Caenorhabditis elegans: one gene and its partner. The protein of the gene in region 1 interacts with the protein of each later gene in a pairwise test. Each region holds a gene or a part of one and is shown on either strand. Other genes may lie near its edges.

Region 1 (6,667 bases):
GTGATTAATAATGACTTTTTTTCGTTATTTTTCTATAATCCACCTTAAAGCATCAAATCAATAAAATCAAATTTCAGTTCGCAATCAGAAGGCCTCCATTCTACATGCTTAAACCACTTCGAATGATGCATGCTCCACTCTCTCCATATGTTCGGCCACAATACAAAGTATCTGGACTCTTGCTCAATAACAGCACAAGCGTGGCTCCGTTATTCGAATCGCTTCTCTCCAAATACGACAAACTACGATCAAAGAGAGCCTTCATCGACAAGTTTGAAAAGATTGACAATTTCTCGCTGGATATGATGGACGATGCAATGCACATTGTGCAAGACTTGCTGGACGAGTACAAGGCGGTCGTACAAAAGGACTATCTGACAAGAGGGCTTTAGATTTATTATTATTTATTCTCGCGGGATTCTCATTCACTTCTTAAAACGGATCTCTGTCGATTATCATATGCTGTGTTTATTGTATTATTTATATCATGTGCTCCTCATCATCATCATAATTTTCACATAAATATTGGTACTCTTGTCTCAGTGGTTGTACTATTGAGGTTTATTTAAATTATTTAGTTATGATTATTGCGCGATAGCAATAGAGAGACATATTGAGGTCTGAAAATGAAAGTGTTTCAAGCTGCACATACGGTCAACAAAACCACCGGGTGAAAAATGAAAAAAAGAGGAAATCGACACGATTTGTGTAAAAGTAACGGGGCAGTGTCTGGAGATGAACAAGACTGGAAAAAAAGGAAAATGAAAAAACAAAAAGTTATCGGTGGGGAGAACGAAACAATGGATAGGTCCGTGAGAGCGCGGGAAATAAGGAAGCTAGATTGATTAGAAGAAAAATGACAAGAAGACCACAATCGGCACAAAAAATTTTGGAAAAAAACATTTCATAGAAACACAACAAGTAGTATACCTAAAACAAGAAGAAAAATGGGAAAAGAACAAAAATTCATCAAATTTTGTGATAAAAATGATAGATACTGTGCCTGGTGAGAGAGAGAAAAAAGATGAAGAGCAAAAAACAGGATCAACCTGAAGAAAGAAAGAGAGAAAAAGAGAAAGAGAGAGAGATTATGAAACGTGGAAAATTTGATAATTGTATTTGTAATTGTAACTCTACATTTGTCAAAAGTCAGGCTCAACGGACGAGCGATGTCTGTGAGGTTGGTGGAGGAGATGTTGGAATGAAATGACTTCCCTCCAAATGACGAATAGCTTCAACAATTGTTTGCATTGATTGAGACAGGGTCAGGCTCGGTTGTGTGCTTCTGGAATTGATGGCAACATATTAATTTTTTTAAAAATTCGAAAAGTTTGCTCGAGAACTATTATGCAGACGTAGAAAATCTCCGCCCTCCATAGCTGGGTCTCGTTAGGTATTTGGCGGCAAATCCGTGAATTCAAACGTTTGTCATTAAATAATTGTACCAATTTTCAGGAGTTTTTCGTCGTTTTTCGTCTTTCGTTGTTTTTATTGGAAAAATGGTTGTTTTTATTGGAAAGTTTTTTTAAAATCAATTTGGCATACGTACCCAGAAAGACGCAAAATGTTCAAACATTGGCGAAACTAATAGAAAAAGTTTGAATTACTGGTTTGGCCCCCCAATACCTAACGAGACCCAGCTGTTGGGGGCGGTCCTCGATTTTACAAGGGGGATTTTTCTACGACCTCATAATAGCAATATTGCAACCTACAGTAACCACAACATTTTTTTTGACTGTATAGAGTATATTATAAAAAAGATTTAATTGAAATTTAATAATCAGCATAAAATAAATTTAAAAATTAAATTTATAACGAAGATTTGAATTCAGAAATTGAATTTTGAAAGTAGATCATTCCACATACAGCCTTCTTCTCTCAAAACAGAAAACTGAATTCATAATTTTTCCCCCATAAAATATACAGAACTCACACAAACGCAGAATTATGTCCCTGCAGATGATGTGGCAATGCGACGGGTGTCGAGTTACCGGTAGACATGGCCGAGGTGACCGCTGCCGCCGCTGTTTGGAACAAAATACTCGATTGAGTTGGAACTGCTGTTGAGAAGATTATTGGAGCGGCAGTCAAAGGTGATGGAGTTGACAGAGATGGTGATGATATTTCAACTTAAATGTTTATATATATTTATAGTCAAAAAGTTTTATTTGAATATTCCAGGGCTTCAAAAAATGCTACCATGCATTAGGCCTTAATACTCTAAATTTCCCAAAAGACCAAATTTTCCAAAAAAAAAATTTGGTAATTTACCAAAATATTGCCTGGAAATTTTGAAACATCTCAAACGTTTCATAGTGTTTTGTTTGGACATTCAATCTTTTTGAAACTAATTTTGAATATATCTTTCCAAAAATTACCTGATATTGGTGGTAGTGGTGTAGGACGGATAACAGTTGTCTCTAAACTTGGCAATGTTGGAGGCGGATGGAATATACGTTGAGACGCCAATGATTCAGAAGAAGTTGGACTACCGTTCAGTGTCAAAAGAGACAACGGAGTACTTGTTGTATCTTGAAATGATGGTTTCCTTTCCGGTGATTCTCGTAACGGAGTAGGAAGAGCCGATGAAGCATATGAAGATGGCAATGTGAAACCACCAGAACCATTAGATCTTGGTGTCACTGGTGACGATGCTTGCGATGATGTTGTCGTCATTTGGAGCAGCTCACGGAGCTGAATTACTTGACTCTCCAAAGCCTTACGGGCGGCTCGTTCAGTTTCTAATATTGTTTGGAGATGTGCTATTTGCGCTTGATGGTCAGCGTCGTGGTGATCTTCTGAAACAAAATTTAATTTGAACAGCTTATATTAATTTCAAGTTTGAACTGATTTAGGGTAGGCACGATTCAGTAAGATTTAGACTTCTTCAGGCCATTCTAGGCTGGAATTATTTTGTGGAATTTCAGAATTTCAGATTATCCAGATTTTTGTTGAAACACAGTTTCCATTCATCCTACTCCACTTTTCAAAAATATCAATAAGATATAAACTTACCTTCAAGTTTGAGTTTTTTGGGTTCTCCACCGTCAGGTATATCTTCTCCTTTGTGTCCCAAAAGTTGATGAACCATATCCGCAGTTTGCTGCAGAATAGCCGCCTTCGACAGCTTTTCTCCCTCTTTTCTGGGAAGTAAGGCTCTTAGAGCCAAGAATCCCGCATTGATGCTCTGCATCCGCCGCCGCTCGTTGCAATTGGCAATTTGCCGACGCATTCTGGATCTATACTATATAAAGTTACAGTACTCACCACCTTTCAGTGCTATAAAACTAACCTTCTGTCGGGGTCGAGCGACGTTGGTGAAAGTGGCGCCGGTTGGGATAGTGACCGGTTGGCGAGCATTGGTGCATGCCCAATCGTCGAGGTAGGCAAGACAGAACGCAACGAATTCTGCATTCCAGAAGCCGTCAAATCAAATGCCGAAGCAGCTGACATGATGGATGGTGGTGCCATTCGTGCATTTGTCACGGAATTCCAGTCGGCGATAGTCACGGGCAATGCACCTGTACCCGAACTCATCATCTCCTCGTCCTCTTCAGTTAGATCAAATCTGCAAAAATGTGTTCGTAGATGAGGTTGTTCAAGAAGCGAAATTTATCAAATAATTTGGGGCCAATTAACTTCAACTTTCCAATTAATGCCTTCTCAAGACGCAAGCTTTTTCGTGAATATCTTCATATTTTTCTATTCTACAACTACAGTACAGTACTCCTTTGAGGATAGAGAAAAAACATATTTTTTAAAAATTGGAAATTCACAAAGTCGTTTTAAATTATTATAAATGCATTTTAAAAAAAAATTCCAAAAGTGATAAAACACATTTTAGACCTTAAATTTGAACTTTGCCGACAATGGGTAACATTTGAACTAATATTAAAATAACTCTAGCTTTAGTTGTTCTGATTTTTATATTGATCTTTTCATCTACAATTAGAACCTATCAATTCAATAAATGCCACGATTCCACAAAAAAAAAGAAAGAAAATGGGATAAATTAGCTTCAATTTAACATCTCAATATTTCTGTTCCAAAAATTATGAGAAATTATTAGTACAAATTGCCACATGCAGTTTTAGAATTGAGGAAAAGTTCATCTGCGTCTCTATATTGTGTTTTTCTCTAAAAGCCAGGTGTTCTTGTTGCGTGTCACTGAGAACGAATTGAAAGCCATGGGAAATTATTTGAATTTTATTTATTGAAAAGTTACTGTAGACTTAACACTTCACTTGGAAACTTGATAGGTTTAGAGGGAGCAAAAAAAGTTTATTTTCGAATTATTTTCAGATTTTAATACTTTCATCAAATGAGAGTCTGATCCTGGATATATATATATATATAGTAGGCAGGCACGTCTTCAGACCGCCTGCCTAGTCGCCTAGAAGGCGGGAATTCAACCATATTATGATTATAAGCAAAACTCGGCTTAGACTTATGTCAATACATTACTTTTCGAATGTTTCTTCTTAAAACCATGAGCAAAAAATGTAGTACAAAAATCCTTACCCATCATCAATGATGATTTGATCTTCTTCTGCGCTATCCGAACGAACCATTTTCTACTATTGATCTACCTGAAAAAAATTTTCTTTTTTGATTTTTGAGGTTCTCGAATTGAAATTCTATTTGTTCCTTATTCTCTCTTTTTCCGACAAAAGTTTCCCGAAACCCGTAACTCTTATCACCTTTCCCCCACTATGTTGGCTGACTGGCTGACATGCCATTTTCTTTGTAGAATCAAAGAAGATAGGCTCTTTTCCCAGCTGAAAATCTTTGTGATAAGCAACACTTGGGGGCAAAGATAACAATGATTATACCACGAATTATTTGAAATAAGAAATAAATACTTACTGTTAGTACTACGGAGACTACGAAGGGACGATGGGAGCCGTCTGGATTACCTGAAACTTTACAAAATTGGAATTATTTGCGACAAAAAACCAACAGCTGATGCTTCACGAAAATTCTTGAAGGGGAAAGATCGAAAAAAAAAAGAGTTTGTCAGTGTGTCATATGGCATGTTTTACACAGACACATGAGGGGAAAGAGGAAGCAATCGAGGGTCGAAACACACCGACTTATAATTCAAAATCGGGCAGTTCGTCTATTTCATACGGTAGGTACCAATGTATATGTAAATTAAATGAAAAAGGCGTGAGGAAGAGGGCAGTTTCAGTGTAGCAGATGAAATAGGTTTTAAATGTATAGAAAATAGAAAAACTGAAGGGTTTATAATTGAAAAAATGAGAGGGAAAGAACAGGTGATCCATTTTCAGGTGTTTAATGCAACAACTTTTACTTAAAATGTTTCATGATACTAATTTGAATGATCAGAGTTTGGGAGTAATCGAAACATCAGAACATTGCCAAAATTGGAATTAGAAACCGAAAGTTTCTTGTAATGAAATTATTTTTAACTGACGATGAGCTTATCTCGTGAAGCCGACAGAGTCCATGTTTTAATAACAATCAGTTCTCTATAAATTTGCAGAATCACAAAACGTCTTTCAAAAGTTACAAACGGACTTGCTCAGATTCTCTCTTGATAAAATATGAAGAACCAAGAATAAATCGGTCTTAAAAAAAAAAAAAGAAAGAAAAAAAAAAGAATTTAAGGCTAGATTTCAAGATTTCACCCCAAGAAATGAAATATGAGCTCTTGATGTTTTGATCTTTCTACTTTCTTAAAAAACCGAGAAAAAATGTTGATTAGCGATTTATCGGAGAAACGAGAGAGCGATGAACACACAAACTGATTCTCAAACGGAATGGAGAAGACAAAACAGAAAAAAATATCAACAAAAAATTGGTTCCAACTTCCTTGAGCTTATAGACGATAGCCAATTGCACTTACCATATGTTTTTTACAATGAGGGCTCCCTGGAACCCATTGACAAGTCAACAAAAAGCAGTTGACCAGTTAGTTTAAGAATTCTTGGTAATTACGAAAAGTTAGTTACTTCTCACATAATAATCATAAAACTAAAAAAGAAACAAAAGTTTGATCAGCTGTAGTGTGCAAGTGTACGGGATGATCTAGTTGGTCAAGTTTGGCATTTATGGGAGAACAGCTGGGCACATAGAGCAACACGCAAAGTATCTAAAGTTAGAAAACATTTGGTAGTAGATTTATGAAATACTTAATAGAACATAGGTTAATAGAGTCTAATCGTGAAAATATTGGAGATTTCAGAGGAAGATTTCTCAATTTTTGGAGGCAATTTCCTGCCTAAATTTTTGTGTATAACATACATATAAAGTTCGTCCATAGTTTTGGCAAAACTTCGGAAAAACTTGGTCAAGATTTAGTTGAAACCGCGTTAAAGGTTGGGAACAATTTTTCATAGTCATACTCACTATAGTTCTTATAAGATCACAAAACATCACCAAAATCGGCAAAGAGATCAGTTCAAAGGCGTAGTAAAAGAGAAAGACACTGAACAAAACGACATCGAGAACTATTCGGACGGTAATGATCTGTTATCATTCAAAATAAAGGTTAAGGGATTTTGTTGCGATCTTCCCCATCAACCGATCCAAGAAACATTTTCTGAAGGGATCCTGAGAATTAGAGACAGATGGATGGATGGGGAAAACACCTGATGGCGCGGCCCCCAGTTTTGTTGGTTGGGGTCACAAACAGCTGTGAGTG
Region 2 (7,881 bases), on another chromosome or scaffold:
CTTTTTGGAAGGAATAAACAACAACAACAAGCCTTTCTTAGTGATGACTAAAAATTTAAGAATGGAACTATTATGTCGTTTAGAGAATTTTCATGTTCTGTTTTTACAATACATAGAGTTTCCGATTTTTTTTACTTTTTCTTTTTGTCTGAAATTTGTTTTTTTTTGTGTTTATTTTGAGAGTAGAAAGCCTGGTTTTGCTAAATTTTCCACCTATAATTTTTAGACAACATTTGAAACGTGCTTTAACTGAAACTGTCTATTTCTCTAATTTTCTCCGTTTCTGTCGCATCGCTACATATGTTTACCCAATTTCCGTGCTGCTTCTTTTCATTTTTCATTGTGCCTTATCGATAGAGAGAAGCAGAGAAAAAGAGCATCTCTCTCACGCAGAGGGAAAAAAGGTTTTTTATCGATAACACACACCGCCCATTACTTTTGATCTTTCCCTTTTTCAAAGTCATGTGGGTTTTTGGTTCTGCTCATAAATGATTTAATCAATACATAGCATGAGTTGAACAGTAGTTAGAAAATGACATCGCTCCTAGGAAGAAGACATTTTCAACTTATAAAATTGTTTGAAAGTTCTATTTTTAAATACAAACACTTAGAGTTGTACAGTACTACAACTGATATCGTTTTTTTTATTTGTATTGCACTACCTAGTATACATAAAACGATAGAAACAGAACAATTATTTTGTCAGTTGACAAAACGACAGAGAAACTGTCAGAATTGAATAATTCGCGAAATAAAAAATAAAGTGTGGTATTGACTGTTTTTTTTTTGAAGATGATGCTGAATTTCCTGATAAAGTTGTCAAAAATGAATGATGTTTAAGATATTTTTGAAGAAACGTTCGGAATAAATTTGTTCTCTAGAATAATTATATAGTTGCTCTCTCAATGATGTAAATCATATTTTGATGACATTTTAGCTTTAAGAAAATTCGCTAATAAATTGGTTGTAATGTTTCTCAAATAAATTTCTCTTGATTCTCCTTCCAATTCTCAATTGTTCCTTTTCTTCGTCTTTTCCAAAGGAACCCCGCCCATTGTTGTCGCCTTTTGGCATGCACAACTAGTTTTCCCTTCAATCTGAATTATTCGATTGGTCAAGCTTCTTTTCTTTTTCTTATTGAATTTAAATTTTTAACTATCAATTTGTTAAATTGAACGGAAAGCTTTGCATTGGAACATCTTATTTTTCGGGGACGTTATTCTTTCATAATCGTTATTTAATTCGTAAATGTTGAACTTTTTCTCTCCGTATGACAAAAATTGACCAAAATGTTGATTGCAGGCCTGTGAAAGATCGATCCGTCGTGCCGTGGTGTGAAGAGAAGTGACGTGAAACGGTCCGAAGGAGGGTATCGTACTGTTTCGCAAAGCTACATCATCTCCACACATAGCCGTTTCCCCGCTTCATCTACGGGTTCATACCAAACCAGAGTAGCTCATTCACTCATTTTTTTGAACAAAAAGGGTTCGTTTTCATTTTCCAACAAAATACATCCGATCCGTCAGTGGCGCCGCGCGCCGAAAAAGGAAAATATATGAGGTATTGGCCTCTCTCTCATAAAAGTCATAAAAATTGAATCGCCATGGTGTCCGCGAGAGAAGGAGAGCCGCGTGAGAGACTAGAAGAGAAATGAAGAAAAAAGGAAAAAAAGGAGCTCAAGAATACAAGTCAGCTGCCCCAAGATACTCGGCTCCGCGCAACTCCACACCATTTCCAGAGTTTCCCTCACTTTCTTACAATTTTGAATTGCAGGTGAAACAAAAAATCAGTCGATAAAAGGAAAAGTCATCATCAATTTTAAATATATAAACACACACAATGGCCTCGACATCGGCAGGACAGAACTCTGCAGCTAAACGTAAGTATTTACTGAATCCTCGTCTGAAACTACCATTGTTTTTATTCTTATTTTTTGCAATTTAAGACTATCGCTAAAATCAGCAAACATTGAGCATTTTTTGAATAAATTTCAAAAAGTTAAATAGTCCATTTTCAATTTTAGTAGGAACTAGAATTTTCATTTTCTTTGATTGGGAAAATACGGGAAAAGAACAATATTTTTTCAAATCAATTTATTTTGAAGTTTGGTTTCCGTTTCACGTTACATACCTTTAAATGTTATCGAAAAATTAGTTGTTGTTTTCCCTCTATCTCCTTTTGCCCCCTCGAAAAATGATTTTAGAAGGAAATAGAGACACAAATCGAATTTGTAGTGTTGTTGTGCATCATCACACACGCAGTCGTCGGGGGCTTCATCCTTTTTCTAGGTGTCTCTATCCGAAAAAATCTAGCGAAAGAAAAATGGATCTCATCTGGAATGCATGAAAAGAACCATTTTTTCAGCTGACACTACCAACACTACCACCACCGCCTCGAACAACAATCGTGAACGCGAACGTGATTTGAAGCAGTTCACCGAACGATTTGTCAAGAGTAAGTATTTGGCTTCTGCAGTCGGGCGGCAGTTTGAAAAAGAAAAACCAATTAAAGTGTTTCTTGCTTCAGGTTACGGAGAAAAGCGCCATGCTCTTTTTTTCTCTTTTTTTTTGCGCAGCACACCACAACCACCCCCATCCACCCTCACATTGGCACACACACATTGAAGAAGCCAGAAATTATACGCGCAGAGAATTTTTTTTTTTGCTTGTCCCGTTGTCGTCGTGAGCTGCAGAGCCGCAGAGAGTTTCTTCTCGTCTATTCTCAGCGCAAACTCTCACTGTCTGACTCACGCGGGTCCGTTGCTCTGAGGAGCTCACCAATGGCTCCGCGTCGGCTCACCAGGCACATAGAAAATATATCGAGAGATAGAGAGTTCTTATTCTCTCTGATTCTCTCTCCGTCATTCTCTTTTTCTATTCGAAAAGATTCTGACGAAGTCGCCGTCATTGGCGTCGTCGTGTGTGTGAGAGAAGACGGGAAGGAAGGGGAGTGAGTGACTGCTGTAGCTTGAAATCGAAAATTAATCCCGAAACGCTTGAGAGGGTTCCCATAGTAATTTAGGAGGGCGGCGGCGGCTCGGGCGCCATGTGGGGAAGATGAGCGTGAGAAGAGCATGGAATTTGAGAAGAATTGAAAAAAAAATAGAAGAAGGGAATAGAAAGATGAAGGAATTCGGAAGTAAAATGGAATAATGAAAACATTATATTTTTTCTAATTTCTCATTTTTCAGCCGTTCAATTTCCTGTTTCCGAACGCCTTACCGTTGATCAGGTCTACGACCGGCGGACTGGAAAACCAAGGCATGAAGTTCTTCGAGATCATTTTATTAAGGTGTGGAATAGATTTTTAAGAATATAATCAAATCAACAATTTTGCAGGAAGGAAGGATAGAAGAAGAAGCCGCGATTCGTGTGATTCAAGAATGCTCAAGCCTGTTCCGCAACGAAAAAACGATGTTGGAAATCGAGGCGCCGGTTACTGTATGCGGAGACATTCATGGTCAATTCTACGATCTCATGAAACTATTCGAAGTTGGCGGATCGCCCGCAACTACCAAGTATCTATTTTTGGGTGACTACGTGGATCGAGGATACTTCTCGATTGAATGTGTCCTGTATCTGTGGGCACTCAAAATCTGCTATCCGACCACGTTGTTCTTGCTTCGAGGAAACCATGAATGCCGTCATTTGACAGAGTACTTTACATTCAAACAAGAATGCAAGATCAAGTACTCTGAACGGGTATACGATGTGTGCATGGAGTCATTTGATGCTCTACCGTTGGCAGCTCTCATGAACCAACAATTCCTTTGTGTTCATGGTGGATTGTCCCCAGAAATCCATACTTTGGAGGATATCAGGAGGGTTAGTGAAAAACATGAGATCTAAAACTAATATTTTGAAAAATACCGTATTTCTCTATTAGTACGGTACCCGTTGTCGTTTGTTCTATCAAAAAATTCTCAATTAACAAAATATTTGTTAGTTCTTTTTCAATATATTTTCAATTAATTTCTTTGATATGTATCATGAACCGAGTGAAGTTTTTAAAGTGAAATAGTTAGGTGCAATACTGAGAGAAAATTTACGGTATATGTTTGTTTTATATGTTTTAAAGTACTGTTTAACTTTAATCCGAAATTACGACCATATCTTAAATGTCTATTTAATTTGTTGACTTTCAGATAGACAGATTCAAGGAGCCCCCAGCATTTGGTCCAATGTGTGATCTTCTCTGGTCAGACCCACTTGAAGATTTCGGAAACGAAAGGAATTCAGAACAATTTAGTCACAATTCGGTTAGAGGGTGCTCATACTTTTACAGGTATCCCATTCACTATAATCTTCATTTTAATAGAACGAAATATTATAGCTACGCTGCATGCTGTGATTTCCTGCAACACAACAATCTGCTCTCCATCATTCGCGCACATGAAGCTCAAGATGCCGGGTAAGAGCTTATCCGTCGCCAGGAGATGCGAAAAGAGAACCTTAATCCTCTTTTCTAATTCTACTCTATTTTCCAGATACCGCATGTATCGCAAATCTCAAGCCACAGGCTTCCCATCGTTGATCACCATCTTCAGTGCTCCAAATTATTTGGATGTCTACAACAACAAAGGTGAGAGGAAATATGGGAATGGCATTTTTTGACGGAGAAACAAAAAGAAAACAAAATTCGGAAAATTAAACATTAAACATTAAACAACTTAACAATTTTCAGCTGCCATCCTGAAGTACGAGAACAATGTGATGAATATTCGTCAATTCAACTGCAGTCCTCATCCATATTGGCTGCCGAACTTTATGGATGTGTTCACGTGGTCATTGCCGTTTGTGGGAGAAAAAGGTATAGCAAGAAATATGTCGAAAACCAAATGAGATTTCCTTTTAGTAACGGAGATGCTGGTTCACATTCTCAACATTTGTTCTGACGACGAGCTGATGGCTGAATGCGATGACACCTTTGAAGGTATGTTCATGATTAAGCACTGGCTCCCTCAAAGGAGGTCCTACTGCGTAAAAAACTAGGTCACTTTAATATGAATTATTTCACAACAAAAAATATTTATGTATATATAATTTTTTTAAATTAAAATAATCTTCTACCGCCAATTTTGTCTCTATACACTTTCAATGATTTTGTCTTGTGCTCGGCTCAAATTGGCAAATGAAAAGCCGCATTGAAACGTTCTCCCCAAGAGATGGAATACATGTGTTTTTTGCTCGATTAATTTATATATATATTTGTAAATGTATATCTTAACAAGAACAGAAAATTGTTCCTATTCACCTCATATCACTCTTTTCTCCTACTGTGATATAAACTAAGGAGAGGAGAAGAAGAAGAGAGACTGTTTGAAAATTAATAAGGCACTGAGAGTTTGAAAGGGAAATAGGAATATTTCCAATTTTCCTTCAAAAACCTCAAAAAATGCACAAAAATCGGTGTTGTGTGTCCGGTACGGTTCTCTCTCTCTGTCTCTCTTCTACTTCTTTTCTCTCTAGTTTCTTGCCTTTTCCTTTCCTTCTCTTTTTTCCTTTTTCTTTCCTTCTTTTCTCCCTTTTTTTGAATATTTGGTCATTGTTTGAATGTTGTGCTACTCTTTTTTTGATTGAGCTCTCTGAAAAAGAAACCATGAGAAAGAAAAGGAAAAACGAAAAAAGGTATTGGCATGAGAATTGATATTTCTGTGTGAGTGTGCGTGTGTGCTCTGACTGAGAATGACTGAAATATATAGGTGTTCTCTTTTTCAGTTTGACATGATTGATTACTTCAGTTCAAAACTGTAACTATTGTACTCATCTGAATTAGCATTTCTCAGCAGTCATACGCTCCCTATGTGTACAGTATTCAAAAGATTAGCGCCACTTTGTAGGTTTAATTTTTTGTAGGATTTCACACTTCAAATTGAAATATAGTTTTTCGAACGATGTAGAAATGCTAGTCACTAGTACACAAACCATGATGTCGATTGAGAAAAAAACGCATGTATTGTTGACCTTGAGCATAGCAGAGCACTACTTGTAGAAATTTTGAGCTCATTTGCCGGAGCCATGTTTGGCTTGGAAGACATTTTGTCAATAGAATTGAATGACAGAAGTACCATGCCATCGTAAGAATATCATCATCCCTTAATTTTTGTCTATTGTTCTAAAACCTTGAAATGTCGGTAAACTTGTTACCTTTTCCCAGTGTTGCAGGCTTGAACTTGTTCTGAAAATCCAATAAAATTTTGACAAATTTGTCAGAAACTGTGTTTTCAAGCCGTCCGTTTTTTCCTTAACCGCACGCGCCTTTAAAAAAGTTAAATGTTAAAATCTCAGTAAAGATCTAAACATTAATCTCAAAACTAGCTACAAAAAAATAATGAAAAAGTCTAATCAAAATTTTAAGGAGCAGATGGTAAGTGGATATTCCCCTACCCACCACACACTGGTGACGTATGTTTGACTATCAGATTTAGTTTTATTTTTTCTTTAATTTTTTACCAAACTTTCTTCGGAACACCCTAAACAACACCCACCTCGGGCGTTTGGCGCTTATACACCATTTCTTAGTTTGTTTTATTTTTCTCTCTGAATACGGCTTTCTATTTATTTGACTTTTATGTGGCTGCTCTGCTTATCTTTTTTGTTCCGTTTTTCTAAAAAAAAATACGTTGCTTTTTTCTAATTATAATTGTTTTAGTTGTTTCATTTGGCTGTGTGCTGCTAAACTTTTAACGCCTTGTGTTTTGCATGTTTTATGTCGGATTTCCAACCTGGTCTTCTCCTGTGTTTTGGTCTCTTTTCAAAAATTCTGAAAATTCCAATTTTAAACATTGAAAAAAAATAGAAAGTCAAAAAATCGAAGAAAATGAAAGAATTCGAGCAGTCTAAAATTCAAAATTCTCTCACTTGGTTTTGATTCCCCACCCTAAAAATTAGTTACTAATTGGAAGAAATGGGTGTCTTTATTGGGATTTTTAGGGGTACGGTATAAGAAATGAGAAAGTGGAAATTTCCCCAAACCTGTGAGAAAAGACCTTGAAGTGTATATTTTTTCTATACATAATATTTTCTCAAAAAGGTTACTTTATATTTTATTAGTATATTACGGTATATTTGAAAAATTATTATGAAATTGTAAAAGTAGAATTGATGTTTACTCGACAAGAAGATTTTTTAAACTATGAGTTTTTTGGCTATTCTTACGGAACATAATCTTGGAACGAAATAAGAAAATGTTAACAATCGAACAAGTTTAGTTTTTTGTATAAAAAATTGTAGTTAAATTAACTAGACAAATAAATTTTCTTTTCCAAGAGCATAAAACTTCTTTAAAACTATTTACAACAAAAACTACCGTAATCCCTTCAAATCCCAATGGGACCCGTTTCCTCTAACTCAACCTCTATCATTTTCGGTGACGGTTGGCACATTGCAAAATCCCAAATTTTTACCCCCTTTGCCCTCCCCATATTCACACTATTTACAAGTAGTAATTTTTCACCTATTAGCCAATATATATGTACATGGCTTTCATTTTATTTTTGACATTTTTCTAACTTCATTCGGGGATTTCTATTGATTGGTAATGTGGTTGCCAGTGAATGGTGTCACCCCTTTTGAAGTTGTTGCCATGTCATTTGTAAATGTTGACGGTTCTTTTTTAAAAATTAATTTTTCAGGTGGAGTGGGGTCTGCAAGAAAAGAGGTTATTCGACACAAGATTCGAGCAATTGGAAAGATGGCAAGAGCATTCTCAGTTCTTCGGTAAGTTGATTAATTTTTTTCAATTTTAAACCGAATTTGTATGAATTTAAATAGAAAGTTTTTTTCTATTATAGAATGAGCATTTTTTTTAGTTAACTTTTATTTATTTTTGATAACATATATCTTAATTTAATGTTTCTATAAAAAAACAACATACTTAAAG

Evidence for each region.
Region 2: the proteins of hlh-11 (region 1) and tax-6 interact in a two-hybrid assay, tested with the Caenorhabditis elegans proteins (one study listed by BioGRID).

Annotation. Positions count from the first base shown.
Region 1 is NC_003281.10:9,620,402-9,627,068, reverse strand, and holds hlh-11 (Helix-loop-helix protein 11), read right to left. Parts: upstream 4,923-6,667; 5' UTR 4,867-4,922; intron 4,802-4,866; exon of another isoform or gene 4,659-4,801; intron 4,590-4,658; 5' UTR 4,572-4,589; coding exon 4,522-4,571; intron 3,569-4,521; coding exon 3,293-3,568; intron 3,245-3,292; coding exon of another isoform or gene 3,240-3,244; coding exon 3,016-3,239; intron 2,799-3,015; coding exon 2,379-2,798; intron 2,130-2,378; coding exon 1,934-2,129; intron 1,745-1,933; exon of another isoform or gene 1,596-1,744; intron 1,286-1,595; coding exon 1,156-1,285; 3' UTR 541-1,155; downstream 1-540. Other genes in the region: tbg-1 (Tubulin gamma chain), read left to right, coding at 78-392. UniProt on the Caenorhabditis elegans protein: Transcriptional regulator. Component of a feedback loop involving atfs-1, atgl-1 and hlh-11.
Region 2 is NC_003282.8:10,495,019-10,502,899, reverse strand, and holds the start of tax-6 (Serine/threonine-protein phosphatase 2B catalytic subunit), read left to right. Parts: upstream 1-1,839; coding exon 1,840-1,879; intron 1,880-2,364; coding exon 2,365-2,454; intron 2,455-2,702; exon of another isoform or gene 2,703-2,981; intron 2,982-3,190; coding exon 3,191-3,291; intron 3,292-3,338; coding exon 3,339-3,824; intron 3,825-4,144; coding exon 4,145-4,284; intron 4,285-4,332; coding exon 4,333-4,410; intron 4,411-4,486; coding exon 4,487-4,581; intron 4,582-4,683; coding exon 4,684-4,809; intron 4,810-4,854; coding exon 4,855-4,932; intron 4,933-6,357; coding exon 6,358-6,366; intron 6,367-7,633; coding exon 7,634-7,718; intron 7,719-7,881. UniProt on the Caenorhabditis elegans protein: Calcium-dependent, calmodulin-stimulated protein phosphatase. Dephosphorylates arrd-17. Dephosphorylates daf-16 at 'Ser-319' which regulates daf-16 nuclear translocation. Dephosphorylates calcium permeable cation channel pkd-2 at 'Ser-534'.